4 linked regions of the Elephas maximus indicus genome follow. The protein of the gene in region 2 interacts with the protein of the main gene of each other region in a pairwise test. Links are inferred from orthologs where the notes say so. Each region holds a gene or a part of one and is shown on either strand. Other genes may lie near its edges. The genes, in order: SHFL, KRT40, MTA1 and DLGAP2.

Region 1 (6,932 bases), on a different chromosome or scaffold from region 2:
GGGGGCCAGGGCCCTGCTTCCCTCTCTGGACCTCAGGTTGAACTCTGAGGTTAAAGATCAGGGGGTCAGGGGTTTGGCTTTCTGAGGTTGATGTTCCTAGGTCAGAGGTTCGGCCATGAGGATGGGGGTCAGCCATGAGGATGGGGGTCAGCCATGAGGATGGGGGTCAGGAGTTGGATTATCACCTCCTTCCGCTGGGGCACACGACGCCACCAAACATGGTCACAGGAGGGACAGGCGAACTGCCGGTCCACAGCAGGGATCAGGTCATCCTGGGCGCGTTGGAACATACGTAGGTTGGCTTCTGTCAGCGGCAGGAGGGAGGTCGCCACTGCCTGTGGAGTGAGGGTAGGTGGGGATGAGAGAGGAGGTCACCTCTCCTCTACCAACAAACATATGTAAGCCCCCCAACATGCGTTCCCCACCCATGAGATGTCCCACCCTTCCCCATGGATGTTCCCCCTACTCCTCCCCCCCACTCACACCCTGGCCTCGCCCCAGCTGCCAACTCACCTGGATGTCCTGGTCCTGCTTCATGTCCTCTGGTGGGTCCTGGATGGAGACACCAGGGGCAGAAACAGGTTGGGGCTCAGGCCTCTTTTCCACCCTCATTTGTTGGCGGAGGAGCTCCTGCTCTGGAGTCCAGAAAGGGACGCAGGGCTCTGGCCCCCCATGAGAGTAGGGCGCCCCTTAACTCATGATGAGCTGATTGAGCAGCACCCACTTGAGAGCCAGGTGTATGACCTTGCACCTGTCATCTCAGCTATGCTCACAGCAGCCCTGAGAAGTGTGTTATCCCCATTGCTCAGATAGGGAAACTGAGGCTCAGAGCTATGAGGGGGCTTGCTGGCGATGACCCTGAGTGAGTGTGGAGCAGCAGGCCTGAATCCTGTGTTCCCTGCCTGCCAGCAGACAGACTGTGAGCACCCCATCCCCAGCACACGTTTGCTGGCATGGTGACAGGTCTGCCTCTGGGGCTGTGCTCCTTTAGCTAAGTGCTTGGGCTCTGGATTCAGACAGACCCAGGTTCAAATCCCAGCTCCACCACTTCCAGCTTTGGAACCCTGGGCCATAATGAGGGGCATCTCAGAGCTCTTAGGTGGTTAGGGTTCAAATCCCAGCTGTTTGCTGTGTGAACGTGGCAAGTGACTTCATCACTCTGTACCTCAGTGTCTTTGTCTGTAAAATGGGGAGGACACCTAATAGGCTCTATCTTGTGGGGTTGTGGGGTTGTTGTGAGATTGTAATCTGTCAACACTTATAAATCCTTCAGCCCCACATATGGGAAGTGCTCCGTCAGTGCCCCCCTTTGCTATTATTTTTATCACTCGTCAACAACTCTACGCCAGGCCTTTCAGCAGGCAAAATCCCCAGTCCACCAGCCACCAAAACCATCTTTCTAAAAGGCAAAGCAGCCAGGTCACACCTGTGCTTCAAAGCCTTTCATTCATTCACTCATTCAACACAGGGGCTCCCTGCTGCACTTCCCCTCCCCCGCCCCCAGTCTGCTCATTCGCAGCCTTTTCAGGTGCCCCTTTCTCACCTTCCAGCCTTTGCTCAGGGCATTCCCTCTTGCGTCCCCTCCGCTTCCCAGGGCTCACTCCTCTCTGTCCTTTAAGACTTGGCATTACCTCCTCCAAGAAGCCTTCCCTGATCTCTAGGGATTTCCCTTATTGACATTAATGCTGGCTCGAGCCACTGCCTACTTTTGTATCTCTCTCTCTCTGATTTAATACAACCAGCATGTATCGAGCACCTCCTGTTTGCCACCTCCCTGGCTGGACGCACAATAGAGAGGTGAATACATGAATGAAGTTGGACCAAGAGTGTGGACCGGCAGTGCCCAGTCCCTCCTGCTCCCTAGGGAGCTCTCCGTGGGTGGGTGGGGGGATCCTCTCTGTTCTCCCTCTTTACCCTGTTCTTGAGGGAAGGGGGCAGGTTACCTGGGCAGGCAGGCCATTACTCAGTTCCTGTCCATCTTTCTGCTTTACCTCTGGTGGAGAGAGAACTCGTAAGTGAAGGGCCCCTGAGGCGCTGTGGGAGTTTCAGGCCCCCAGAGCCCACTGTAGACCTTTCCCGAGGCTGGGGATCCACAGGAGGTGGTCTCAGCGTTTCTTTCCACCCTCGGCGCTCCCACACGCAGCCCTCCAGGCCCGGGACCCCCACCGGCTCACCGTACACGATGGAGCGCCCCACTCCAGTGTGGTCGCTGCCAAACTTCCTCATCAGAGCCCCTGCCTTGCGGGAGGACACCTTCCCATGAAACTTCTCCCGGAGGCGCCGGACGCTCTTCTCCAGCTTGGGCGCGGATAGAGGGGCTCCGATGGGGGAGGAGAGGCGCAAACGCCCCTCCCCCTCCCCCTGGCACCAAGCACCAGGCCTGAACTTGACCCTCGGGTTTGGCCTCTGCCCACCTCCCCCACGGCATTTCCTGGAAAAAGCCAAAGTCCCCACCGGACATTGGGGAATGGAGCGGGGAGGGACTAGGGCAAGCGTCCCAGGGTAAGGCGAGGCCGGCCAGGTAACCTCTGGCCTTCGAACCCTGACCCAGCAGCCCCCGCTTTTTCTCGGGGAGGCCGCATTTCGTTCTAGGGTATGTGGGGGATCACTCTCCTTTCCCACAGTGGCGCGCGCCGGCCAGGGGGAAGGTCTGGGCTTATGATGGGGATTCCCGGGAACTGCGAAGCCACCTCCGCACCCCCTGCCCCTTCCCGGCGTTTCTCGCGGGCCCCCGGCGCGGCCGTCGCCATCTCCTACCTCCACACCTTCCTGAGACATGGTGGCGGCGGCGCAGGTCCCCGCGAGGGTCCGCACGCAGCGCCGGCCACCCAGCTACCTGGGCGCGCCCGTCGATCCGGCGGCCGCGCAGGGCAGGGGGCGGTGCCTCGGGCCAGCCCGCCCTTCCTTCCTGGCCCCCTCTTTCGCTTTCGTTTCGGGGGGGCGGGGCGCCTTGGCTCCGCCCCTGTTCCTGCGCCCCAAACCCAGGCGGGCGCCCCTGGTCCGCGCCCTGCAGTGGAGCGCGCAGACCTCGCGTGGGGGGGGGGGGGGCGGCGCGGCCTCTGCAGTCGGTCACATGTCCCCACGCTGCGCGGGGTCCGCGTCTTCACGTCCCATGTGGGGGCGGGGCTGCATCGGAAAGCCGCTGCAAGTCTCCGCACCTCCACAGCTCGAGGGGACCCATCGGTCGTCACCTTCTTTCCTTTCCTTCCCTCTCTCTCCGGAGGAATCAGGCGCTAATTAGGACCTGGGCCTCTTGGCGCTGAGTTGCTGGACAGGCTATGACCCCTTCCTTGGACCTCAGTTTACACTTCTGTAAAATGGGGATGATGGTAGTGGCTACATTCTGGTGGGGGGTCAGGAGACCTCGGGTAGAGCACTGAGCAGCACCTGGCTTGCTGTGGGCACGCTAATAGTCTTTGAGTCGCGTACTCTGTGCCAGGTACGAAGGGGCGGGTGGGCTACGGGAGGGATACTTGTTAAAAATACAGACCCCTGACCCGTAGCAGCTCTTTGGAATCAGACTATCTGGGGCTCCGGGGCACCTGCATTGTAAATCTGAAGGTCGAGAGCCCTATGGGTCAAGACAATTCTAACCCAGCGCACAGGGGACTGGAGGAGTCCTTAAGAGGGGCTCTGGGCCAGCAGGGGGCGTCAGGGATGGTTTGTCGGAGGAGTTAAGGGTTAGCACAGAGTGCCTGAAGCTTGAGGCCTTAGCCGGTGCCTGAAGTTTGAGGCTGCTCTGTGAATTGCAGGCTGTTTAGCAGCATCCCCGGTCTCTACCCACTTGATGCCAGTAGCATCCTGCCCCAATTGTGACAATCAAAAATGTGTTCAAGCATTGCTAAATGTCCCCTGGAGTGCAAAATTACGTTAGGGTAAACGGCTCCAATTTTTTTTCCCCCCATTTGTACACCCTATCAGGAAAAAGAAAAAGTCCCCGGGTGGTGCAGACTGTTGGGGCTAGTCTCCTAGCCTAAGGGTTAGTAGTTTGAACCTACCCAGCAGCACTGAGGAAGAAAGGGTTGGCAATACGCTTCCATAAAGATTACAGCCAAGACAAATCTATAGAGCAGTTCTACTCTGTAGCACATGGGGTCACCATTAGTTGGAATCCACTCGACGGCATCAAGTGTTGTTTTTTTAAATCAATAAAAATGTCGATTCTCTGTCTCCCATATGGATACTTAATTTATAAATATGTACTAATGTTGTCGTTAGGTGCCATTGAGTCAGTTGCGACTCATAGCGACCCTGTATACAACAGAACAAAACACTGCTCGGTCCTGCACCATTCTCACAGTCGTTGTTATGCTTAAGCCCATTGTTCCAGCCACTGTGTCAGTCCATCTGATTGAGGATCTGTCTCTTTTTTGATAACCCCCTACTTTACCCAGCATGCTTTTCTTCCTCAGGGACTGGTCCCTCCTGACAACATGTCCAAAGCATGTGAGAGGTGCTCTCGCCATCCTTGCTTCTAAGGAGCATTGTGGTTGTACTAATAAATTCTGTATATTAGAAAAAAATGGAGATTTAAGAGTATACGTGTTCTAATGTCTTCTACTTGAACACCAAAAGTTGGTTTGTAGAGTGTGTGCTTCCCACTCTGAAAGCTACCCTGTTAACAATTGCAAGCAATTCATGGTTCTTAGTAGCTGAATAGGATCAGGGAAGACCAACACCACCACCACCACTGCCGTCGAGTCGATTCCGACTCATAGCAACCCTATAGGACAGAGTAGAACTGCCCTGTAGAGTTTCCAAGGAGCGCCTGGTGGATTTGAACTGCTGGAGGGGAAATGATATTTGAGGACAGACCTGAAATTATCAACAAAGCGAAGAGACAACCTACAGATAGGGAGAAAAATTTTGGAAACCATATGTCTGATGAGCGCTTAATATCCAAAATATGCAAAGAACTTGCACAATTTAACAACAAAAAGACAAACGACCCAATTAAAAAATGGGCAAAGGAATTGAACGGACGTTTACCAAAGACGATACGCAAATGGCCAACAAACACATGAAAAGATGCTCGAGGGGAAACCTGAAAGAAGGGAGGGTGGGAGCTATCTGGGAGAAGATAGTTCCAGTCAGTAGAAACAGCACGTGCAAAGGCCCTGGGGTGGGAGCATAGAACTGTTATCACCAGTTCTATTTGTTGTTTATTGCTGCACAACAAATCAACCCAAAACTTAGTGGCTTAAAACAATAAACACATGATCTTATATAGTTTTTGGGGTCAGGAGTATAGGAGTGGCTTAGCTGGGCTGTTCTGGATCAGAGTCTCTCATAAGATTGCAGCCAAGATGTTGACCAGGGCTGCAGTCATCGAAGGTTTGACTGGGATTGGAGGATCTGCTTCCAGGGTGACTCACTCACATGGCTGGCAGGCTGGTGCTGGTTGTTGGTGGGAGGGCCCAGAACAAGCATCCAAGAGACGGAAAGCCAGGTGGAAGTTTTTGTGACCTAGTCTTGGAAGTCACGTCACATTATCCCACTACATTCTACACCTTAAAAGCGAGTAACTAGATCCAGCACACATTCAATAAATAAAAATAGTTCAGGGAGAGGGAAATAAATACTCCAGCCTCTCTCTCCTCCCACCCTCCCATCTTCTGCTAGATTCTCTTATTGGCTGGACTCAACTGGAAGCCAGAGGGCAAGAGTACCCATTGGTGCAGTCAGCCTCTTAGGACACAGAGCTGAGGAGTGGGCCCCCCTCACTCTTGCCTTATTCACAACAAGTCCCCTCTTGTCTAGGTTAGGAAGGGATCTCTCCAGATTCCAGTTTCCCCTATAACAGGGATTAGGATTTTCCTGGGGTGGGAGGGGTAGGGACAAGGGAAGGTGGGTGAGAGTAGATCTGGAAAGACAAGCAGAAGATGTGACCACATTATTGAATGTTGGCATTTGTAGATCAACAACAACAACAAAAAAAAACAACAAGCATTTCCACCCATCACACGGGGGCGCTGCCTACCCACCCACAGTTCTGTCTGAGCTTTGTGACGGTCTTGGTCTGGGCAGATGTGCCTGGCTTCTGTAGTGAGCATTACTGCATTTTATCTTTTGTTTTTATAAAAGGGTGTGGGAAGGAGAAAATGGAAGCGCTGAGACCAGTGATAAGAAGTGTAGCCTCCAACACTTTAGTATAATTGAGTCAAAGGTAGAATTCATTAGATTTCTCCTTTCAGTTTTCCTCACTCATATCAAGTGGAGGCATGGTATTGGGTACGTCCAAGAATGAGACACTGTTTCTGCCCTCCTGGAGTTCATGGTCTTCGCGGGAAAGAGAAACACGAAGCAGAAGATATTGTAAGTAAATGTTTGATTATATTTGTGATATATACCAAGTGGTAGACTTGTAAGCATTTTAGGAGGTAATACATGATCAAGAACCAATGGTACTGAAGGAAGAAGTCCAAGCTGCACTGAAGGCATTGGCGAAAAACAGGGCTCTAGGAATTGACGGAATGAATACCAATTGAGACGTTTCAACAAACGAACACAGTGCTGGAGGTGCTCACTCATCTGTGCCAAGAAATTTGGAAGACAGCTGCTTGGCCAACCAACTGGAAGAGATGGATGTTTGTGTCCATTCCAAAGAAAGGTGATCCAATTAAATGCGGAAGTTATCAAACAATATCATTAATATCACACACAAGTAAAATTTTTCTGAAGATCATTCAAAAGCGGTTGCAGCAGTGTATCAACAGGGAGCTGCCAGAAGTTCAAGCTGCTTTCAGAAGAGGACGTAGAATGAGGGATATCATTGCTGATGTCAGATGGATCTTGGCTGAAAGCAGAAAATACCAGAAAAATGTTTACCTGTATTTTATTGACTATGCAAAGCATTCGACTGTGTGGATCATAACAAATTATGGATAAGATTGGGAATTGAGGAACACTTAATTGTGCACATGAGGAACCTG
Region 2 (6,938 bases):
TACCTGCTGGGGCAGTACAAGCTGCTGACCTGTCATTCCTGCTTTAGCAATGCTTGGGAAAGGCAAGGAAATGTAAGCCCTGCAAATTGGAAACCGGGCCCTTTGTCACATGAACTGTCTCTTCTTTGGGTTATGGAAGAAGGGAGAGTATCTCAAGGTCTGCTTCATCAGTGACAAAACAGTTGTCTTTCCCTTACACACCAAGTTTTGCTGGGCTTGGAGCTCAATCTCCAGAGCGTTGGCTGTGCGTTTCAGTTCTAAGATCTCCGTCTGGCAGCCTTGCAGCTGCTCTGCACTGGACAGCTGCTGCTGATTCAGCTCCTCTGTCTGAAACATAGGCACTTTTAGAGAAAGCAAATGAATGAGGCAGGGATCTGGAAGCCTGCTATTGTGTTGGCTCCAGGTGCTGACCTGAACAGCGAACCATGCTTCCACGTCTCTGCGGTTGTTGGCGAGCACTGTTTCATACTGACAACGCATCTCATCCAGGACCCTGTTGAAGTCGGTCGTGGGGGCAGTGTCTAGCTCCACACTGAGTCGGTCACCAAGCTGTCCAAGAAGCAGGTTGACCTCCTGAAAGTGGAAATAGGAATGTCACAAAGTGGTGGGGGAAAAATCAATTTGACAAAATTCTACCCCAATGGCATCCTATTTCTATTTTTTGGAACAGTGGCTGGAAGTGTGGAATTTAGATTCAGGTGGTTTGAGTTTGAATGTCTTAGCGCTACTTATAAATGCCTCAGTTTTTCATCTGAGAAGTGGATATAATAATAGTTCCTTTCCCAGAGGTATATAAGAATTAACATACATATAACTTAAACAAGTCCTGGTACATAGTAAGCTCTCAATAAATGTTAACTACTACTATCATCAAACATGTTCAAAGAGAAAACCTTCTTTGTTACATCATTCAACTTTTCATTTTCCAACCTCCGCAACATGGCATTATCATACACTTCATGTTTTATGATTTTAAGTACAGAACATTTGGAATCATGGAGAAATATTGCATGGGTATCCCCTTTTCGAAATGGACTTCATAGTCTGCGTTTATCAGTCCGATTTCATACCTCTTGGGCTGAAGCTAGGGGTGTCATAAAGCCTCCAAGGGAAACCATTTGTGGAATTACTCAACTCCTCTGCAAAAACAATGGCAAGTGAAGAGTTTGATTCCTTCATAGGGCGCTGGCCAGAGTTGTCTCATTCAGAGATACACTGAAGTGATCAGGCCGAATAACAAGTGTGCCTCGAGGAATTCTGTTCCAGCTTAAGCAACATCAATCCAGATTCAATTTATACACTTAAACATAACATCTGTCAGTTTAACCCTGTCACCATTAGGGTCCTTTAGGGATTTTGCCACTGTCCTCACCTCCTCATGGCTTTTCTTAAGGCAAAAGAGATCATCCTTCAGGGACTCCACATGGGCCTCCAGGTCAGATCTGCACAGGGTCAGCTCATCCAGGATCTTGTGCAGGCCACTGATGTCAGTCTCTACCAGCTGGCGAAGGGACAGTTCACTCTCGTACCTTTCGCAGCAAAAGAGATATAGCCAATGCTTACTCTGCTGGGTCCTGTGCAAAGTACTGGGGCTGTACTGACGAATGATACATGGACTCAAGGGAGCCACATATCATAATTTCTTTTATATCCCAAATAATTATAAAATAGAGTTTTGCGAGAATTTTTAGCTTAATAATATTACACAGAGAGACCATTTGTGCCCAGTGAGAGTGTTTATGAGAGAAAAAGAACCAGAGAGAGGAGAGAAGGAGAACCATAAATCATTTTCAAATTCAAATTAAACTTACTTTGACCTAAAGTCATCAGCAGCCAGTTTGCAGTTGTCAAGCTGTACAGCAAGTCTAGAATTCTCTGCCTTCGTGCACAAAATCTGGAAAGTAAGTTATGTAATAAATGGCTCTTTGAAAGAATACTAGGTATCTATTCATTTAATTGCGATGTAACTATCCTTTAAAATATTTATAAGAAAACATAAAATAGCTTTCATCCTGCTTTTCAAATTAACAGTGTCACTCATGAAGAAAAATTGCCAATTTAACAACAAAACAGAGAAGTAAAATGGCTCGTTTTTTACGACTATAAGACATGAACACAGTTACATTTTTCTGTCCATAGTTTGTATTATGACTGTATAGATCCCCGTCCATGATAATAGAAATTCATCAGTAAAAGAAAATGGTTACTACGTGAAATTATATAATTAAAAAGATGGCATTTCATTTTCTATGTTCAAATATACAGTGTTATATGAGAAGTAATTTCAGATATAACACAGTTTTCCCTCGTTTTATAAATGATAAAGGTAAAGCCTATACATAAGCGACTTTATTATCATCACTCAACTAATTCGTGGCAGCACTGGAGCTAGTGCTGGTGTTTCCTGACTCTTAGTCCAGTGCTCATTCTACCACAACACATTAGCTCTTGGAATCCCCTCCTCCCTTGGTTTCCTTTCATGCCTAAAATGTCCTCTTCTAGTATAAAGATAAAGCAAATCACAGGTTGGGAAAACAAAGGTATTAGGGCAATGGGTTGCCAGACCTTTTGTTGGAGATCTTCAATGGTGTCAAAGTAACACTGATAATCAGGACACACCAGTGGGATTTCCTGTTCACATTGTTCTCGTATCCTGCATTCCAGTGCTGCATTCTCCTCTTCCAGGCCACGCACCTTCTCCAGATAGGTGGTGAGTCTGTCATTCAGGAACTGCATTGTCTCCTTCTCGTTGCTGTTGAACACCCCATCCTCACAACAAGGACAGTTCCCCACCAAGCATGGAATATTACAACTCCCAGCAAAGTAGCATGGTGTGAGGCAACCAGTTGACAAGCGAGACGTGGATGGGAAGGTGGGGGTCTGGCATCTGGTTGTAGCACAGGTGTTAGGGAGACAAGTCGTTTTCATAGAACGCGTTGAAACAGATGGGTGATCAGAAGCCCTGGCACCAGACTCAGAAGAGCAGCGAGTGGGAGAACACTCAGAAGGCATCCTACTGGAAGTGAAGAACAGAGACTAGCTGTAAAACCCAAGTTACCTGACTCCAAAAGTCTTCTTCCTTTCTGAGACTTTTATATAGTCCCCCCAAGTGGGTATTTGCAGACTGCTCTGGATGTTTTCATTAACATCGTTGGTGGCAGTTTTCTTAAGAACATTTCATTAGTCTTGTTTATTTACAGAGGAGGAGTTTTATGCCTCATAAAAGAGGGATAACTCCAGGTTTCTAAATCGGGATGTACACGATTTCTGTGTGTGAGTATAATAAAATACTTGTTTCAGAAAATCTTCACGGGGGACATTGCCCTTTTGACAGAATATTGGAAGAAAGAGAACATTTGGCCATTCAATAATTACAGATATAACTGATTACAGGTAAGGATAAGAGTATTTGCACTGATTTTGATCCTGTGCATTTAATATTGTGTCTCCTTTAAAAAGAATATTGCATATCATTAAATGTCGTTTATTTTTGCCACCACCATAAAAATATTCAGTGTGATTAGCAATCTTTGCAATGGTATTTGTGATCTTGACTTCACATTTGTGTTTACAGGGTAGAGGAGTGAGGTGTGTACTTGATTTGACGTGTATGGGTGCACATGTGTATATGCGTGAACCTTCTCTCTCTAGGTGAAAATGGAAAGATCACATTACATACCTTTTTTTGCCCTTTAGGTCGAAATATAAATTGGTTATCAGGAGTTGTCATCTTTGGTTTGCTGAAACTTGCCTTCTCCACTTCTCGTGTGTCGCATGTTTGGATCAGAGATAATGTTTCTTATTTGGGAATGTTGTTGTTGTGAGCTGCTGTTGAGTTGGCTCTGACTCATGGCAACCCAATATACAACAGAAGGAAACATTGCCAGGTCCTGCACCATCTTTATGATCTTTAGTACATTTGAGTCCATTGATGTGGCCATCTTTGTGTCAGTTCATCTCACTGAGGATTTCCCACGCCTTCCCCGGCCCTTCACTTTATCAAATATGATGTCCTTCTCCAGAGATTCGCCCCTCCTGATGACATGCAAAGTAAGGTATTTGAGAATAGCTGTAGGTTACTCAGGTATTTCTAATAAGAATAAAATATAAATTCTAAGTTATAATTTTTTAGGCTCTTGAGAGATCCTTAGAATACGGCAAGAAAGCTATAGAAGACTTTTCTTTCGGTGAGATTATGGAGTCTGCTTTATCTTATTAATTTTTCTGAAGACTTCAATTTTATGAAAATTAAAAATACTGGGACTTGGAGGATAAAAATTCTACGGTGTGGGTTCCAGGCTGACAATTCTGCTGGATGAAATCCCTGGTGGAATCCCTAAGGGGATGAGACTTGAGATAAAACTTTCCTGGATCCTGTTTTGTTTTATTTTTAAATGAAACTTTATTTTTATTTTATTTTTTAGATTTCTTATTGTGCATTAGGAGAAAGCTTACAAAGCAAATTGGTTTCCCATTTGATAGTTTGTACCTGAAGTGTTCCGTGATTTGGACTCTCTTTTCAATCTTACCTCCACTATGATCCATAATCTATTCCACTGTGATTGTGGTTATCTATTTCATTTTCAAAGGTGACACAGGGAAAATTTCCTCCAGAATCTTTGAGATCCTTATAGGAAAAAGCATTAGTCTGACAAAGTTAAAAATTTCATGATCCAGAACAAACTTAATTATTTCTAATTCTGAGCACTACTTCCTAGTTAACTGATAATGGAAAAAACAAAACCAGGGGACCTTCTATAGGATGGATTAAAGTAGTCTTTTAGGATTTTTTATTCACTGGACAGAGTTGGACTTGATTTTAGTGATTCTAAAATCAAAACTTATTTTTCAAATTCTTGGAGTGATTCACGACATATTGGTGCTGTTACGCAACAGCCGTTGAGTTCAAGGATTAAAAAGCAAATTAAAAATTACAAACATCCAAGGAAATATTACAGTCCCTTACTAACCTATAGTGTTGGTGGAGAATATTGAATATACCTTGGACTGCCAGAAGAATGAACAAATCTGTCTTGGAAGAAGTACAGCCAGAGTGCTCCTTGGACGCAAGGATGGTGAGACTTTGTCTCATGTACTTTGGACATATTATCAGGAGGGACTACTCCCTGGAGAAGGACATCATGCTTGGTAAGGTAGAGGGTCAGCAAAAAAGAGGAAGACTCTTAACAAGATGGATTGACACAGTGGCTGCAATGATGGGCTCATAGTGTCTTAGTTATTTAGTGCTGCTATATTAGTTATCTATGAGTTGGAATCAACTTGACTGCAATGGTTTTGGTTTTTGGTTTGGCATATTATCTAGTGCTGCTATAACAGAAATACCACAAGTGAATGACGTTAACAAAGAGAAATTTATTCTCTCACAGTCTAGGAGGCTAGAAGTTTGAATTCAGGGCACCAGCTCTAGGGGAAGGCTTTCTCTCTCTGTTGGCTCTGGGGGAAGGTCCTTGTCATCAATCTTTCCCTGCTCTAGGAGCTTCTCAGCACAGGAACCTCAGGTCCAAAAGACACGCTCTGCTCCTGGCATTACTTTCCTGGTGGTATGAGGTCCCCGTGTCTCTCTGCTCAATTCTCTCTTTTATATCTCAAAAGAGATTGATTTAAGAAACAACCTTGTCTTGTAGAGTGAGTCCTGCCTCATTAACATAACTGCCTGTAATCCTGACTCATTAACATCATAGAGGTAGGATTTACAACACATAGGAAAAATCACATCAGATGACAAAATCGTGGACAGTCATACAATACTGGAAATCACAGCCTAGCCAAGTTGACACATATTTTGGGGGGATACAATTCAATCCATGGAACATAGCAACAATTGTGAGGATAGTGCAGGACCAGGCAATGTTTCGTTCTATTGTACATAGGATCGCTATGAGTCAGAACCGACTCGATGGCACCTAACATAATCATTAACCTAATGAGTCAAGAGAAGAGATCTTTGAAGAAAGTCCATGTCTTGATTGTTCACCATAGGGTCCACTTAATTAAAATGCAGCAATGTCATTATTTTAAAGTAACTGCAGGTAAAATAAGACATATTTCCTTCTGTCTCAATCTGATTTCTATTTGTAAAATATTGATTCCTAGTTATTATATATATATATATATATACATCATATATACACACAGGGAAAGACTATTTATTTTGGCCTTGATTAATTAGTGCTGTGTTATATGATGATCTGTATCTATAGTTTTCATCTTAGAATATGGAAATTGCCCAGCATATGTTTTATAGCTTATCATCCTCACAGTGAGGAACATTAAACCATACCAAACCAGTTGTTGTTGAGTTGGTTCCAACTCATGGCAACTCCATGTGTTGCAGAAGTAGAACTACACTCCATAGTGTTTTCAAGGCTGTGAACAGTTGGAAGCAGATCACCAGACCTTTCTCCTGGGGTACCTCTGGATGGGTTTGAACTGCCAACCTTTCAGTTAGTAGTTGAGCATTTAACCATTTGTGCCATCCAGGGACTCCATGTGAACATTGGGAATAGAGAAAAATAAATAGAAAATTTCCTTTTGTAACATACTCTTACCCCAGAATATAACACCTTCTGCTGTGATAATCATTTTTTTATTTTTATCACTTTCCACTTAGGAGGTCCAAAGTTTGATATATGACCTTCCTCAATCTGGTGCCAGTTTGCCTTTTTAGGCTCTTTCCTGTTACTCTCTTTTACAAACACCAGACTCCGACCATACCTCCAGGCTTTGCAGGTCCTGTTTCCTTGGTCTAATCCTCTTCTACTATCTCTTACCTGGATGAACTCACAAGTCAAGACTCAGCTGAAATGGCATCCAACTGCTTCACACTGAGATGGAGGCTCTTTTTATAGCAATTTGTACTTACCCCACCTAAGGCAACTGTCACATTACATTGCAATTTTTTATGCATTTTAGTGTTT
Region 3 (7,614 bases), on a different chromosome or scaffold from region 2:
TCTTAAAAATGATTCTCTCTTCTCTGAGACCATCTATGGAACGGCCCTACCCTCTAGACTCTCGGTATTGGCCATGCCCTCTGGTTCTAGGTGGAGGACCCTTGGCCCTGGGCTTCAGCTCCACCTTACGGGCCCACTGGGATGGCAACTCTGCTCCCTTATCTTTGGTGGGCCCACTCTCCTAGTCCATCTGAGTGGTGACCCCACCCCCTTGACCCCAATCGGCCCTGTTCCTCTGCCCCGTGGGCATGGCAGCCCCATCCCCTCAGCTTTGGCAGCAGCCGTATCCCCTGGCACACTTTAATGGCAGCCCCACACTTCAGAACTCAGTTTGTGAATATCTGACTGTTTGAAACCTAGGAGGTTGTGGCCCCACCCTTTGAGATCCAGGATTGCATGGCCCCATCCTTTGAAATCAAGAAGGCTTTGGTTCCTGTGCTCCTTCCAACAGTAATGCTGATTTCCAAGCTGATCTAGGAATGGTCCTTTTCTTTTCTTGGAGGACAACAAATGTAGCTTCTTTGGCCTTTTTCCTACCTGTAGAATTCCAAAAGGCAAACAGCATTCTTTAGTTCTTTCCCTGCCCCCTTCAGTTTAAGCTAGTGAGTTTTCTGCTGTGGTAGTTGGTTAGCTCCATCAGTCACAGGCTTAATCTCTTTAACACAAGATTGTGTAGCCACATCGTTGGTGAACATTCCAGGACACATGTCCTTAGCTTGTACAACAGAATTTTCCAAGTCTTTAAGTTCTGTTTTCATTTTGCACCATTCATTTTTAAGTCCATCTCTTTTTTTTACTATAAGTGACAAGGAGAAACTATGCAGCTCCTTTAAGATCTTGCTTAGAAATCTCATCAGACATATATCTAAGTTCATCATTTACAAGTTCTACCTTCCAACAAACATTTGAATATAATTCAGACAAATTCTTTGCCACTGCATAAAAATCATCACCCTTCCCCCATTGTCCATCATATGCTCATCATTTTCTTTTAAAGCCTCATCAGAAGCACACTTAACATTCACATTTCCATCAAAATTCTGTTGCTGGTGCCATATGTATCATCTAATTCATAGGGACTTTCTCTATAGCTCTTCTCACTTCCTGCCGAGCCCTCACCAGAATTGCCTTTCATGTCCATAATTCTACCAACGGTCTCTTAAAGGCAACCTAGGCTTTTACTATCAGTCACGTTAAAACTTTTCCAGCCTCTACCCATTACTCAATTCTGAAACCGCTTCCACATTTTAGGTATCAGAGTGGCACCCTACTCTCCTGGAACCAAATTCTTACTTATCTACTGCTATTATAACAGAAAGATGAATAACTTTAACAAACAGAAGTTTATTTTCTCACAGTTTAGAAGGCTAGAAGTTTGAATTCAGGGTACTGGCTCTAGGAGAAGTCTTTCTCTGTCAACTCTGAAGGAAGGTCCTTGTCTCTTCTGAGCTTCTGCTCCTGGGCAGTCTTCATGTAGCTTGGCATCTCTCTTCTCCCATCTCCACTTTTCACATGCTTGTTTAACCTCTTTTAGATCTCAAGAGATTAACTCAAAATACACACTACACTAATCCTGATTAACATAAGAAATACAACCCATTCCCAAATGGGATTATCATCACAGGCATGTTGTTGTTGTTAGGTGCCATCAAGTTGGTTCCAACTCATAGTGACCCTATGTACAACAGAACGAAACACTGCCCAATCCTGTGCCATCCTCACCATCATTGTTAAGCTTCAGCCAATTGTTGCAGCCACTGTGTCAGCCCATCTCATTGAGGGCCTTCCTCTTTTCACTGACCCTCCTTTTTATCAAGCATGATGTGAGACATAGTCTCGCCATCCCTGCTTCTAAGGAGTATTCGGGTCATACTTTTTCCAAGACAGATTTGTTTGTTCTTTTGGCAGTCCATGGTATGTATGTTCAATATTCTTTCCCAACACCACAACTCAAAGGGGTCAATTCTTCGGTCTTCCATATTCATCGTCCAGCTTTCTCATGCAAACCACAGGCATAGAGTTTAGGGCTTAGGACGCATATTTTTGAGGGACACAGTTCAGTCTCTGACATAGCCAGAGCCACTTTCCCAATCCTTGCTAGAATCTTCTGTGTCTTCGGCACCTTTCGTTCATGGCATGAGTTGTCCTCTGTGCCAGTAGCTCACCTGGACATTCATGGCATGAGTTGCTCCTCTGTGCCAATAGCTCACCTGGACATTCATGGCATGAGTTGCTCCTCTGTGCCAATAGCTCACCTTTCGTTCATGGCATGAGTTGCTCCTCTGTGCCAATAGCTCACCTTTCGTTCATGGCATGAGTTGCTCCTCTGTGCCAATAGCTCACCTGGACATTCATGGCATGAGTTGCTCCTCTGTGCCGCTAGCTCACCTGGACGCTTTTTTTGCTAGTCCTGACTTTTGATTACTTTGTTAGGTGTTAGGGGAAAGACATTTTATGCTGCAGCTTTGCTGACTAGAGGGGACGACTCCTTCTTTCACTGGTTTTGGAAACTTTGCCTATATATTATCGTCCCCTTCTGTGAAGTCCCTGGGTTGTGCAAATGGCGAATGCACTGACCTACCAACTGAAAGGTTGGAGGTTCGAGTCCACCCAGAGTTGAGGAAAGGCCTGGCGATCCGCTTCTGAGAGGTAACAGACTTGAAAACCCTGTGGTGCTCATCTCTACTCTGACGCACATGGGGTCCTCAGGAGTTGGGAGGCAACTGGCCTTCTCCTGCACCTAAGCTTCTCTTTCTTTTCTAGTCCCTTCCATCACAACCAAACGTAACCTCGACCCTGGTATCTGAAAGGAAGGGTCCCTCTCCCCCCGCCACTGTCCTTCCAGCTATGCTTCTTGGAGAACTGGTTGTCCTGCAATCCCTACTAGCCCCCCCTGACTGGGTCCAGTCTGGCCCCCTCGAGCCACCAAGACAGCCCTTGTAGCCAAGGCATCGATGAAGCCCCATTGCTCACTGTGGTGTTCCCCTTTCTGGTTTGCCTGGCCACTCCATGGCACATGATGCTTTGACCAGCTCCCTCCTTGGGAACCCCTTCCTGGCTGTCATTCCAGCCCACTCTGGCTCCCTTCGCACCTCACTGGCTCCTTCTGTACAGAACTTTCCGTGGTGGGGGCCCTCAGCGCTCTGCCCCAGGCCCCTTCTCATCCCCGCTCTGTCCTTGGGATCTTAGCACGACCACGGCCCTTGACCATGTCCCTCCCATCCCTTCCTGAACCAGCTCCCTCCTGAGTACCCCCGCCGCCCCAAGGCCTCCATTGGATGTCCCATAAGGATGTTCCTGCTCCCAAAGCCCTCACACAGCTGGGTGAATGGGGTAATAACACTTGTTGCTCCAGCTGCCCACCTGGAGCCACTCCTAACTCTCTTTATCCCTCTCTGACGCTGATGCTGGTCCGGGCTGGGACTCGCCCAGTCTGAGCTGCTGCCTTGGCCATCTCATGCTTCTCACTGCTGGTGGTATCTGGGCCACGGGATTCTCTATTCTCCCCAAACCTTAGCAAGTAAGCACAAAAACAAATACACGGTTACAAATTGTGACCAGCCTTGGGGCAAAAGCTGGGTGCCTCTCTGTGGACAGTGGGATCGTCTCTCCTGGCCTGGACTCTCCTGCCTTCCCTGTTCACTGGGCGTCACACCTCCCAGCCCCACTTTGGCCCTCGTGAGTCAATGAGGCCTTCCACAGGTGAGGCTGCTGGACCCTGGCCTCAGGCAGGGCCTTCTGGAGAGTGACCTCAGGGCCTTACCCACTGCTATTCCCTGCTCCTGAGACAGGGAGCCCTCAGCTGGGATCTGTGGAGTGAGTGAGAGGCAGTATCCTCACCGCTAACATTTACCCCTTATTATGCTGCGCCAGAGGCCCAAGCTAACTGCCCTGGACCCTCAGAACAAGCCCACCGGGGGGCCTGACAGAAGAGGAAACAGAGGCCCAAGACAGTCAGGCACTGTCCACATTAAGATGGGGCTGCTGGCCGTCTAGGATGTCCAGGGAACACCACAGGGCACAGGAACGGGAAGCAGCCTGAGGGGTGGGGACACCGGCTGAGAGGTGGGGGCGCCGGCTGAGGGGCGGGGGCCCGGGATGAGAGGTGGGGGAGCCGGCTGAGGGGTGGGGGCCCGGGATGAGAGGTGGGGGAGCCGGTTGAGAGGTGGGGGCGCCGGCTGAGGGGCAGGGGCCCGGCATGAGAGGTGGGGGAGCCGGCTGAGAGGCGGGGGAGCCGGCTGAGGGGTGGGGGCGCCGGGCGAGGGGCGGGGGCGCCGGGCGAGGGGTGGGGGCGCCGGCTGAGGGGCGGGGGCGCGGCGCGCGGGGTCGGATAACGGCCCGCGCGGTGGGCGGTGGCGCCCGAGGCCCCTCCCCGCGCCGCGCCGCCGCCGGCCGCTCCTCCTCTTCCTCTCCCGCCCGCGCCGGCCTCCCGTCCCTGCGCGGCCTCGGCGGCGGCGGCGGCGGCGGTGGCGGCGGCGGCGGCGGCGGCGGCACAGCGCGGCCCCTTTAAACCGCCCGCGGCCCCCGCCCGCGCCCCCGCACCGAGCCTCCATTTCCCGGCCGCCCGCCCGCCTCCCGCCTCCCGCCCGCCCGCCCGCCCGCCCGCCGGCCTCCCGCCGCCGCCGGCGCGGACATGGCCGCCAACATGTACAGGGTCGGAGGTAAGGCCGCGCCCGGGCCCGCCGCCGCCTTTATCCCCGCGCCGCCCGCGCCCCCGCGCCCCCGCCGCCGCCCCGGCCCTGCGCCCCGATGCCGGCCCCCGCCTCGGCCCCCCACCCCGCCCGCCGGGGACCCCGGCGCCACCCCGCCCCTCCCCCACGCAGGCCCGCCGGCCGCACCCCGCCGCCCGGCACCCGAACGCCCGGCACCCCAACGCCCGCCCCCCGGCGCCCGGCACCCCTGCCCTGCCCCTCCATCTTCTCTTCGGAGTGGCCTGGCCCTCGCGCGCGTCGCCCCGGCATGTCGCCCCGGCCCGAAATGGCCCCCGGAGGCCGGGCGGCGCGCTGAGCCGGCGGGAGGCGGGGGCTCTGCCCACCTGTTGGGGGCCGAGTGGGTGGTCTGTGGGGCCCCTGCGGAGGAGGCGCGCGGAGGCGCGGGCTGGTGGCGGGGCATCTCCGGAGGCACCTGGGTCCAGGGGCTTCAGCTGGGGCCTGGGGCCTGGGGCCAGGGGCTGTGGAGCCCCTCTGGAGCACGTGGCCTTGGAGGCTCCTCGTAGGCACCCTGGGAGCAGGAGTTTTGGGGTCCCCCTGGGGCTGTGCGGGTTGGCCCATATGCTGGGATGGGAACAGGTCCCTCTCGAGGGATAGGGTGCTCATGCGCCCCAAGGCCAGCATTCCTCCCTCGGAGCCCCTGGCACAGCATAGAGTGGCCCCCGGGACACCCAGAGTTGCTTGGGCTGCGTGCTTGCGTGGGGGCCCCACAGCAGTGTCCCCTTGCAGAGCCGTCATAGCACGCGGTCACCCAGAGCTTGTCTCTGAGTTGCCCCAAACTTTTCCCTGGCTCCCACTAACGCTAGCCCGTCATGGAGACACTTTGCAAGGATTGGGGAATGGGCACAGGGTCAGGGGGTACAGCCCCCAGATCTGCCTGTCCTGTGGTTCAGTGCCAGGAGGTCCCTAGCCTGGCCTTGCCCTCGGTTGTAGGGGCTCTGTGGGATCCTGGGGGTTCCTCTGCTCACTCTTTTACAGGGAACTGAGTAGCCATGCTCAGGCCCATGCTCTTCCCTGCTTGGACCCTCGGGTACAGCATCACCCCCAGACCTGCAGCTCTCCACCCCCCAGTCCCTCAGCCTCCTCACTGTGAGGGGCTGGGTGTGGTGCCCTGCTGTGGAGGTGTGTCAGGCCTAGGCAGTGCTGGGGTGGGGGGTGAAAAGGGGATGTTCCGTCTGTCCTCACTGCCCCCCACTGGCCTGCCCCCACCTGGTCACTCTGACCCTGGGTGCCCAGGACGCTTTCTCCCTTTCGCGATGGCTCTGCTGCTGGTGACTCTGGCAGAGACAGGCGTTTGGGGGTCCCCCTGGTCCAGCCAGGCGGGCTCTGACCTTGGGCTGGTTGCTGGCCTGCCGTCCTCACCCCCATCTGTCTTCTCCCTGGAGAGGTGCTGTGTGTCACCAGAGCAGGTACCCTCCCACCAGCCGCACCACCCCCCAGAGATGGGTGCCATTGCCCCTGAATGCGTGGCTTTGGGGGAGCACCATTTGTGGCTCCCTTACTCCCCACCAGCTGGGGTCCTCCTGTGTCCTGACCAGCTCCTCACTGCCCCTGCAGGTGCCCCTCTCCCTCCTCTGGGGTAGCTCCACTTGTCGTGCCCCAGAGCCCATTGGGCCCTGCCAGTACTACCAGCTGCCCAATGGTCCTGGGCTCAATTTCCATTCCACTCACAGGGCCCAGGCTGCCTTCTGCAGAGTGGTCTTCTCAGCAGCTCAGGTTCCCAGTCTCTAGCCCCTGATTTAAGGTCTCCTTGTTGAGTGAATGAATGACATGGTGGCTGGGGGTGGAAGGCCAGGGCAGAGGCCGGGTTCGGATTCCCTTGTGCTGGGCTGGAGAGGGTGGAATCAGGGCCGTGAGGTCACCCCAGGGCCGTTGGATGCTGGCCCCCTTCACCACTGAGCAGGTGCCCCTGGCCCAGAGCCCCTGCCCTGCAGCTTCTACAGCCCTCGTGGCCTGAGCTGGCCCTACGGCTCGCCGAGGGCCGGCCCTTTGGCCTGGGGCTGTGGTGGCGCTGGTGCTTCCAGGGTGCAGAAGGCCCTGGAACGGACAGCCTAGGGGAGTTGGCCCTGTGCAGGCTTCACAGTGTGGGTCCATGGGATGTGCCCCCACCCAGGCCAGCTGGAGAGGCCACCTGCAGAATGTGGCCTCTCAGGTCAGCCCAACCTGGTCCACACCTCAGGCCCCCCCAGGCCTCAGTTTCCCCCACTTGTACGAGAGCTCTGTCTGCCCTCCTGCTGTGTCTGGTTGTGTGCGGACCTTTCTCACCTCTAGGGAGACCTCTTCCAGGGAGGCCTGCCCGACCCTCACTTACCCAGGTTGTAGGGACCCAGCCCTGGTTAGGATACAGCACAGGTTTCCCAGCAAGTCCTGGTTGGGGCCTCCCATCCCTATGTCTGACCCTGGCCTAGCACCTGGTGTGGGCTTGCAGAGTGACCGGGCAGTGCCATGGGGGTGGGCGTGGATCCCCCAGCCATGAGATGATTGGGCCCTCCCTGAGTAAGGGGCTTTTTTTTCCCTTTATTTGTAGACGACAAAGCCGGTAGGTTAGGGTTCCTATCCCTTAATATGGAGCACTGCGCCCCGGCCATGCCCTCAGGATGCTATGGTGCCACAGATGTGCTGTGCCTCACTCTCGGTGGCCATGCCAGGCCCCTGGGGTGTCCGGCTGAAGCCTGATGAAGGCCCTGTGGCCCTCAGGGCCTGGATGAGGGGCCTGGGTCCCATACCCTACCCTCCCAGGAGCCCCCCGAGTCAGTCCAGTGGTTGTCCCACACCCAAGGGTGCCCTGAGGTCCGCCTTGTCACTGCCCCACGTTCAAATGGCACTCCAAAACTGCTGATCCCTCCCGAGCCTGCTTGGCAGCTCCCAGAGAACCATGCTTGTGGACTGGGCCCCAAGGTGCTGT
Region 4 (7,737 bases), on a different chromosome or scaffold from region 2:
CCACAGTTACAGAACTCATGACATTTGAGATGGTTTCTGAAGGGACAGTAGGAAAGGGTAATGTGATTTAGGCTGGGACTATCTTCTAACCACTGTCTTTCATTAGGTCCATAATTCTCACAGCCCAGATGTGCTTGAGCAGATAGTATTCCCTATAGTCCACTAGTCATATTGCCAGATGTGGGGTATAAAATATTCTAATTTGTTCTCTTCCAAGCCATGAAAAAAAATCACACCATCTAAAAGGAAATGGTACATACACTCTACAATTATTATTACAGCCAAAGCTGTGAGTCACCCAGCCGCCTGCACAAGACAATTTGGCTACTGGAAAATCCTGATTAATGACATTTTTTTAAACACCAGAGTAACAACCTGACCTGCCAAAATTAACATTTTTTCATCCTTTCACCATTTTTGCCTTGGTTACCTATTTAGCTGTCTCAGAGAATGGGAAGTAAAATGAAAACTGAGTTGTAGTGCACATTAACCTCAACTCTACATGATGTTCCTTCCAAAAAGGGTTAAAGGGTTTCTGTTTTGTCACCTTGGAGGCACGTGAAAAAGAGATCCTTTTGAATATGCTATCTGGACTCCCTCAGGCTATGTGACATATCAAGTCATCTTCTAATTACAAATACAATATACCACCTACAGACAAGTTCTTGTTTTTGTTGTGTGTCCTCCAGTCACTGGGACTCATAGCAACCTTAACAGGACAGAGTAGAACTGCCCCATAGGGTTTCCTAGGCTGAAATCTTTAAATGAGCAGATTGCCAGGTCTTTTCTCCAGGAGAACCATCGATGGGTTTGAACTGATAACCTTTCCGTTAGCAGCCCAGTGCTTAACCACTGCACCACCAGAGCTCATCTAGAAACAAGAATCTTCTTGAAATCACACATTACTAAAGTCCATGAGTTCCAATCAGATACACTGTTCCATGACGATACAGGGGGAGCTGGTTACTGTTAGTAAAAATCCAAGGCCACCAAGGACGTATTTCCTCAAGGAAGTCCTTTTCTTAAGTACCTCATCTGAGTCCTCCTGCCTCCAAGTCCCCAGATGACAGGAAAAGCAGTTATGCTTTGTATTTCAAGCTCTAAAAACACCCACAGTCCGTGCTGGCATAGTTAATAAACACAGAGGATGAATTCACTGCCGATCGCTTTATTTTTAATCAATACAAGACAGCTGCCACGGATAAGTCATGAATTTAGAATTCGAAGCCCTTGCCCAAATCGCCATGCATTTGAGAGACGCAAAGCACAGGAAGCTGGAATAAAAATTACCTAAGAAGTGTGGAAGAGCCAAAAGGAAGATGCCTTTTAGTTCCCGATGGGAAATAAAACCAGCCAACACGTTTTCTAGTCCCCACCGTGACCGTATTCTCTTTCTCCTACTCTACCTGCGAACCTCTCCTGATCTCTCTAAAGCTCTCGGCCTTTCCGCACCCCTCCCCACCTCTTCGAACTCCATCTCCCAGAGTCCGCCCACCCTCTCCCCAGATCCCCAAGTCCAGCTGTGCTCGGAACCCCCTCGGTAGAGAATATCCCGGGCGAGGAAGGAGGGGTAGAAGGGGAAAGAGGTGCCGCCCCCCACACCAGGCACACCTGGCCCGCGATAGCAAGAGACCTTCCCTTCCGCCCCCCACCCCCTCACAGCGCCAGGGCTGTAATAATTACATCCTCATTATTTCTCCTGCAATCGTTAGCGAACAAGCCCAGAGAACAGCAACAGCCGCTGCCGGGGGAGGCTTAGTTACAGAAGCCTGCGCTGGGTAGCGCCTCGCATAGCAACCACCCTTAAAAAAAACCCCGTGCTCCTCGCTCACACTTGGAAAGCCGGGCGGCTGCCACCCCCTCCAGGCGCACACCCGCGCGCATCCCCTGAGGTCCCCCTCCCCGCCCCAGGCGACCACCAGGCAGCACTCGCCTCCTTCCCCGCTCCCCTCCGCCCCAGCAGGACCACACGCGCAGCCCGGGCTCCCAGCAGGTTTCTTTCCTTCCCAGTCCCCGTCGGCGCTTCCCCTGCTCAGCCCAGCCTGCGGTGGGGGTGGGGGTCCGTGTTGGGAGAGGGGATTTTTCTGGAAATGCTAACCGCCGCCCCCCACCCCATCCCCTCGCGGCCACCCCCAGCGGTGCCAGGTTTGAGGACCCCTCGCTCTCCAACTACCCCTCGGGCTGCGCTTCCTTACTGGCATCTGCCCGCCGGTTCCCTCCAACCCGCCGGGCTACAGCTGCGGGTTTCACACCTCGGGCAGCGCCCCGCTCCCCGCGCCCGGTTCCCGCCAGCCTCAGGAGCCCAGAGTCCAGGAGACCCCCCCCCCCCCGAGCACCGCCAGCTAGTGCGCAACCGGGCGCGATGCGGGAGATGGTGCGCCCCCGGCCCCAGCGCCTGAGTCCTCCCGGGGCTCCCGAGGCTCCCTGTGGCCACCAAGCTGCCTTTGGGGTCCCACCACTGCCCGGCACCCGCGGCTTCGCTCCCGGCACCCGGGGCTCCCCGCGCCGCCGACGCGCTCCCCGGATGGCGTTCGCGGACCCGCGCTGCCGGGCCGCTCCGGGGTCTCCCTGGCCCAACTCCAGCACTGGAGAGCTCGTGCGTGGCAGAGTGGACCGCCCGCCCCCGAAGCGGCCAGGGCGCCCTGCGCCGACGCCCCCAGAAGTGGCAGATGACGCCCCCACCTCCCTCCCTAGCCTGCACACACCGCCCCCAGCTCCCCGCGCCGAAGCCTCCCCTCGGAGGGGCTTCCAACGGGTCGTGCAGACTTTACTGCCCCCAAGCCACACCAAACCATGTCTGCTCCCGGTAGAAAGTCCCCGACATGCCCTAGACTGTCACCCAGGCACCGGCGACAGCGGCACCACGACCCCGCGCCGCCTCGACGGCACTCAGCAGCCCTTACACTTCCCTCTCCCCAGGTTCCGGGGGCCTCTCCGGGAGCCAGCGGTCCTTACCTTTCTCAGCGCTGACATTCTCAGGCACTACTGTTTCAGCAGGTGCTGGGTGACATGGCGAGGTGGCGACCCCTCTAGCCAGGCGAGCAGGCAAAGGCGCGCGGCCGCGTGCTGTACGGGCTCCGGCTCCGGCTCGCGCTCGGGCTCCGGCTCGCGCTCGGGCGCCGCGGTGCAGGTGCTGAGCGCCGTCCGGCTCTGCCGCCGCCGCCGCCGCGCTGTGCAAGCCGCACTCGGAGCCTGGCGCACGGGTTCTCACGGTCGGCGCCTGCGCACACCCGCGCCCGGGGAGGCATCGGCGCACTGGGGGGGCCGGCCCGCGCCGGGCTCCATCTAGAGAAGGTCCGGAGCCATTCCCTCTCGCTGCTTTGAAACTGTAGCGCAAAAGCTGCGGCTTCGCTACCCCAACCTGCTTTGGCTACTGAGCATGCCCGGTTCTAGTGCGGAAACCCCCAGAGGAGCGTTCAAAGAGAAGCTTTTTTGCAGGAGCCGCCGTGTGGAAAGCGGCAGCGCTTCCAATCCAACCAACTGTTGCACGGGGAAGCGGGACGGGTCACCCGGGGACAGAGAGGGAAGAGGCGGCTCCCCGAGAACATGCCAGCATCACTGGTCCGGAGCTTCAATGCTACATGCGCTACGGGTTTTAAAAGCGTTTTGGAAAGTTAGCACTAGAATACTATAAGCACACACCTCAACATATGGGAATGTCCAGCCCACTCCGGACTAAGGGACGCGCTAGCGCATTCATGTGTGGGATTAATTTACAATTTAAAGTCTGCTCAATACCCAAGATGCTCACTTGGCGGAGAGAGGAGAGGACCACTGAAGATACGAGAGAAGGTATTTCTTTGCAAGGGAATTTCGCTGCAAGGTTACTGCTGCGGCTGGAAAATATCCTGTTACTGTGAGCGTTGCAAAACCGAGACTCTCGCTATTTCCATGGGCGTACTTTCCCGTGGAAACCCTGGTGGTTAAGTGCTTCGGCTGCTAACCAAAGGGTCGAAATTTGCCGGTGCTGTCTGTCCCGGGAAGAAGGAATCCATCAGTGGCGACCGCTAATCTCATGAACAGCATTATCTTTATTAATTATATTTATATAATTTTATCTATTTGCTTGTCTGTAAACCTGGGTTGAAAGGCAGTGAGCACCATTAGATGAGGTCCTGCCACCTTCGTGGGGTGACTATTGGCAGCGTATAAATGACCCGAGTGAAAGAATAAACAGAAAAACCAAACCCAGTGCCGTCGAGTCCATTCCGACTCACAGCGACCCTATAGGACAAAGCAGAACTGCCCCCATGGAGTTCCCGAGGAGCGCCTGGCGGACGTTTTGGTTAGCAGCTGTGGCACTTAACCACTAGGCCACCAGGGTTTCCAAGTGAAAAAATAAGGAAGAAAAATTAAATCAGTTGTGTTCAAAATCTGTAGCGGTCTGGAAACTTTAACAACACTGGGCATATTTTGATAGGTCCTAGTTAAATAGGTGGGAATATGCTTCTGAGATCTGACTTGATGGTAGCAACGCAAAGTTATTATGGCCTACAGGGAAACAAAGTATACTGATACTCAGAGACCCCTTTTTTTTTTTAATTCCTAGTTGTATCAGGCAGTTACCTTAGGCCAGTCTTTAATGTAGAGATAATAATAGATTTTTTTCATATCCCTAGCTGAGTTGTTGTGAAGTCAAAATGAGATAAGTTACACGAAAGCAATTATACAAAGTAAAAACACCAAGATGAAAGCTTACAGAAAAATGGATAGGAGTTAGAATAGAAGTGAATCAGATGATGAAAATACTTGGAATGGGATAAACCAATCTTTTCCAGAATTCCAAGGTCTTTAAACAAAAACACTACCTCCATTAGATTTCTTCATAGAAGTTATCGCTCAAATATTAATCAATTCCAGTGCATTTTCAAAGCAAAGTTTAGATGCCGATGGGTATACAAAGATGAATCAAAGAAACGTGACAACAATCTAATTTCTCCTTAGTGTTCCTTTAAAAGCATCTTCCAATTTATCTCCCCTGTGGATTTGTGTGGTCTGGAACTTGGGTGGACGATGCTTCTGGTAGACCACTGGTAGTATTTAAAGACTGGCAAAAGTGCACTGGAATTGCTGACAGGGAGGTCATTGGTGAGTTTTGCAGGAGCAGTCAAAGTGGAGGAGTACAAACGGAAGCCAGATGGACCGCAGAGTCCATTCTAGATGTCAACATGGAGACAGACTTTGGAGTCAACTCTTTCAAGAAGTTTGAGTGTTAAAGAGATAAGAAAAATAGGGCTGGAAGAGAATACAAGGTTTCTGAGAAGTTTGGCTTTCAGGTGAGAAATTCCAGAGTAGGTTTGAATGCCACTGGGGATATTGATGTAGAGAACACATTGAAAATTCGACCTCTTCAAGGACGTACGTATTTCAGCTGTGTCCCCTCTGTCTCCTGTATTATTGATTTTCTAAATATCAACTTGTTCAAGTCCTTTGATATACAAATATACTGCATGTGCATTTCTTTTTTTCTATCTTAAAACACCCTCTTTGGACCTCACATTCTCTACAGTTACTGCCCCTTTTCACTGGCCCCAGGAAAGAGTGCTCTGTACTCAATGTCTCCAGTTTCTCTTCTGCGGTTTTCTCTGTTCAGTTCCAATCAAGCCTTTGCCTGTCCCACACCAACAAAATTACTGTAATCAAGGTCACTAATGACCTCACATTGACAAATCCAATTGTCAATTATTAGTCCTCCTTTGACCTATCAACATCATTTGGAACAAATGGTCACTCCCTCCCCCACTTCTTTGACTGGCTTCAGGAAAGCACACTCCTCTCTCGTGCCTCACTGACCACTGCTTCTCATGTTCCGTATGTAGCTAGGTCTTCCCCATCTCTCCACTTTTGAAAACTTACAGTGCCTCAGGGCTGAGTCCATGGACCACTTCTCTGTCTATGCTCATTCTCTTAATGATCTCATACAGTTTCTTAGCTTTATATACTGTGTATCTCTGTCCTGGACCTTTCTCCTGAGCTGTAAAGTCATTCACATGTCTAATGAGTTTCTAAAACCTAACGTGTAGACTGTATATTGCCAACTACAGATGATCCTCCCAAAGTTTTCTCCATCTCGCTAATGCAACTCCAGCCTTCCACTTCTTAGATCAAAAACTTAGACCCATTGTATGCTTCTCTTTTTCTTTCACAGCCTGCATTTAGCCACTCAGAAAATCTCTTTGGCTTTATTTTCAAATATATCAAAAATCAGACTACCTCTTCCCAAACCTCTAATGCAACCACTCTGATTCTAGTCACCATCTTTCTTACTGCAGTGGACTTAAACTTGTTTCCCTGCTTCTTCCCACTAAAGTCTACTGTTAAGATAGTGGCTTAAGTGACTTATTTAAAATGTAATTTCAGTGGTCTTCCCAACACCCTCAAATGATTTTCCATCTCACTCCTTGGAGAAGCCAAGGTTAATGTAATACCTGTCATGATCTTTCCCCAACCCTGTCTGACTCCTTGTTTCCTCTCCCATCTCTTCCACTACCCTTCTCCTTGCTCACTGCACTCCAGTCACACTGCCCTGATTGCTATTCCCCAAACAGATATGCCAGGCAATCTCCTGAAACATTTCTAGTCCCTTCTCCTTTGAACTCTCTTTTCCTAGACATCTTTAAGGCTGGCTCCCTCACTTCCTTCAAGTCGGTGCTCAAATTACTTTCTCAATGATGCCTTCCCTCACCAGCACCATCTCCCCATTTTCTAACTCCCTTCCCTGCTTCATGTTTCTCCAAAGCACTCATTGCCATATGGCATACTATTTTTTTACTTAATTTTCTTTGTCTCCTTTCATTAGACCATTCACCGGTGTACCTCCAGTATCTAGAACAGTGCCTGACATACAGTCAATGTTTTTTTTAAAGCAATGAATTCAATAAAAAGGGGTAAATAGTGAATCGAGGTTCCAGAGAAGGTGCAATGGAATAATGCACGAGTATGTGTCTCTTTTTTTTTTTTTATGTGTGGAAGAAAGTCGCTTGGATAGAAGAGAATTATGACGGGAGAAAGAAAGGGAAGGAGTGAAGACACACGTGGCTTAGAGGGAGATTTGTGGGTGAGCAACTCCTGGTGACTCTGAGTTTCTCCTCTAAGTATAAGAAGATGATTAGGTGAGAAGGAGAAGGGAACTCTACGTTATAAGAGTGAGCCGCAGGTATGTGGAAAATAGTAGTTTAAGACAGACCTTGTGCCAAGTCCTTACTCTCCAACTCTTCTCACGTTTCCAAGTTTTCTTCTCCATAGTTTTTTTAGTCTTCTTCACACCCTAAATTCTGCTAATATTTTAGAACAAATGGTTTTGAGTAAGTACTAAGCCATCTCCTGCCCAAGCACCTACCCCTTTTCACTCTCTTGTCTTCTCTTTATACCAGTGTTTTCCAAACCTTAGGGCGCAAACAGAATAGAGAATATTCGAAGGGAATCAGTGGTAGTGAGGATACGTGTTGTTGTTTCAGAATATGTGTACTCGGCAAATGCTTTCAAAGAAAGTTTGAATGTCACCCGTTTTATACATCCACCCACTGACCCCTCCGGTTTAATTTATTTGCCCGAAAGCCAGATCTCAAAACTTTTCCCCGCTGCACTGTAGCAAAATAACTGAGCATGCGCGGTAGCGAGCTTCCAGAAGGCGGGGTTTTACGGTTCGGACCGACGGTGACTTCCAAGCCAATCTACGGCTGTAGTGCGAATGATTGACAGCCGGGTAGTAGAAATCCGGATCCGGATTGGGCAGCA

The links.
Region 1: the proteins of KRT40 (region 2) and SHFL interact in binary tests that used the Homo sapiens proteins (3 or more experiments, as listed by UniProt). The two-hybrid records come from large-scale screens. The link is inferred for Elephas maximus indicus from reciprocal best matches to the Homo sapiens genes KRT40 and SHFL.
Region 3: the proteins of KRT40 (region 2) and MTA1 interact in binary tests that used the Homo sapiens proteins (3 or more experiments, as listed by UniProt). The two-hybrid records come from large-scale screens. The link is inferred for Elephas maximus indicus from reciprocal best matches to the Homo sapiens genes KRT40 and MTA1.
Region 4: the proteins of KRT40 (region 2) and DLGAP2 interact in a two-hybrid assay, tested with the Homo sapiens proteins (2 studies listed by BioGRID). The link is inferred for Elephas maximus indicus from reciprocal best matches to the Homo sapiens genes KRT40 and DLGAP2.

The regions. Positions count from the first base shown.
Region 1 is NC_064821.1:28,232,163-28,239,094, reverse strand, and holds the start of SHFL (shiftless antiviral inhibitor of ribosomal frameshifting protein), read right to left. Parts: upstream 3,021-6,932; 5' UTR 2,779-3,020; coding exon 2,758-2,778; intron 2,299-2,757; coding exon 2,175-2,298; intron 1,994-2,174; coding exon 1,944-1,993; intron 553-1,943; coding exon 514-552; intron 336-513; coding exon 186-335; intron 1-185.
Region 2 is NC_064837.1:48,073,161-48,080,098, forward strand, and holds the start of KRT40 (keratin, type I cytoskeletal 40), read right to left. Parts: upstream 3,013-6,938; coding exon 2,566-3,012; intron 1,895-2,565; coding exon 1,812-1,894; intron 1,530-1,811; coding exon 1,373-1,529; intron 574-1,372; coding exon 412-573; intron 328-411; coding exon 202-327; intron 1-201. UniProt on the Homo sapiens protein: May play a role in late hair differentiation.
Region 3 is NC_064828.1:119,709,835-119,717,448, forward strand, and holds the start of MTA1 (metastasis-associated protein MTA1), read left to right. Parts: upstream 1-4,596; 5' UTR 4,597-4,633; coding exon 4,634-4,661; intron 4,662-7,614. UniProt on the Homo sapiens protein: Transcriptional coregulator which can act as both a transcriptional corepressor and coactivator. Acts as a component of the histone deacetylase NuRD complex which participates in the remodeling of chromatin.
Region 4 is NC_064830.1:6,902,394-6,910,130, forward strand, and holds the start of DLGAP2 (disks large-associated protein 2), read right to left. Parts: upstream 3,001-7,737; 5' UTR 2,974-3,000; coding exon 2,956-2,973; intron 1-2,955.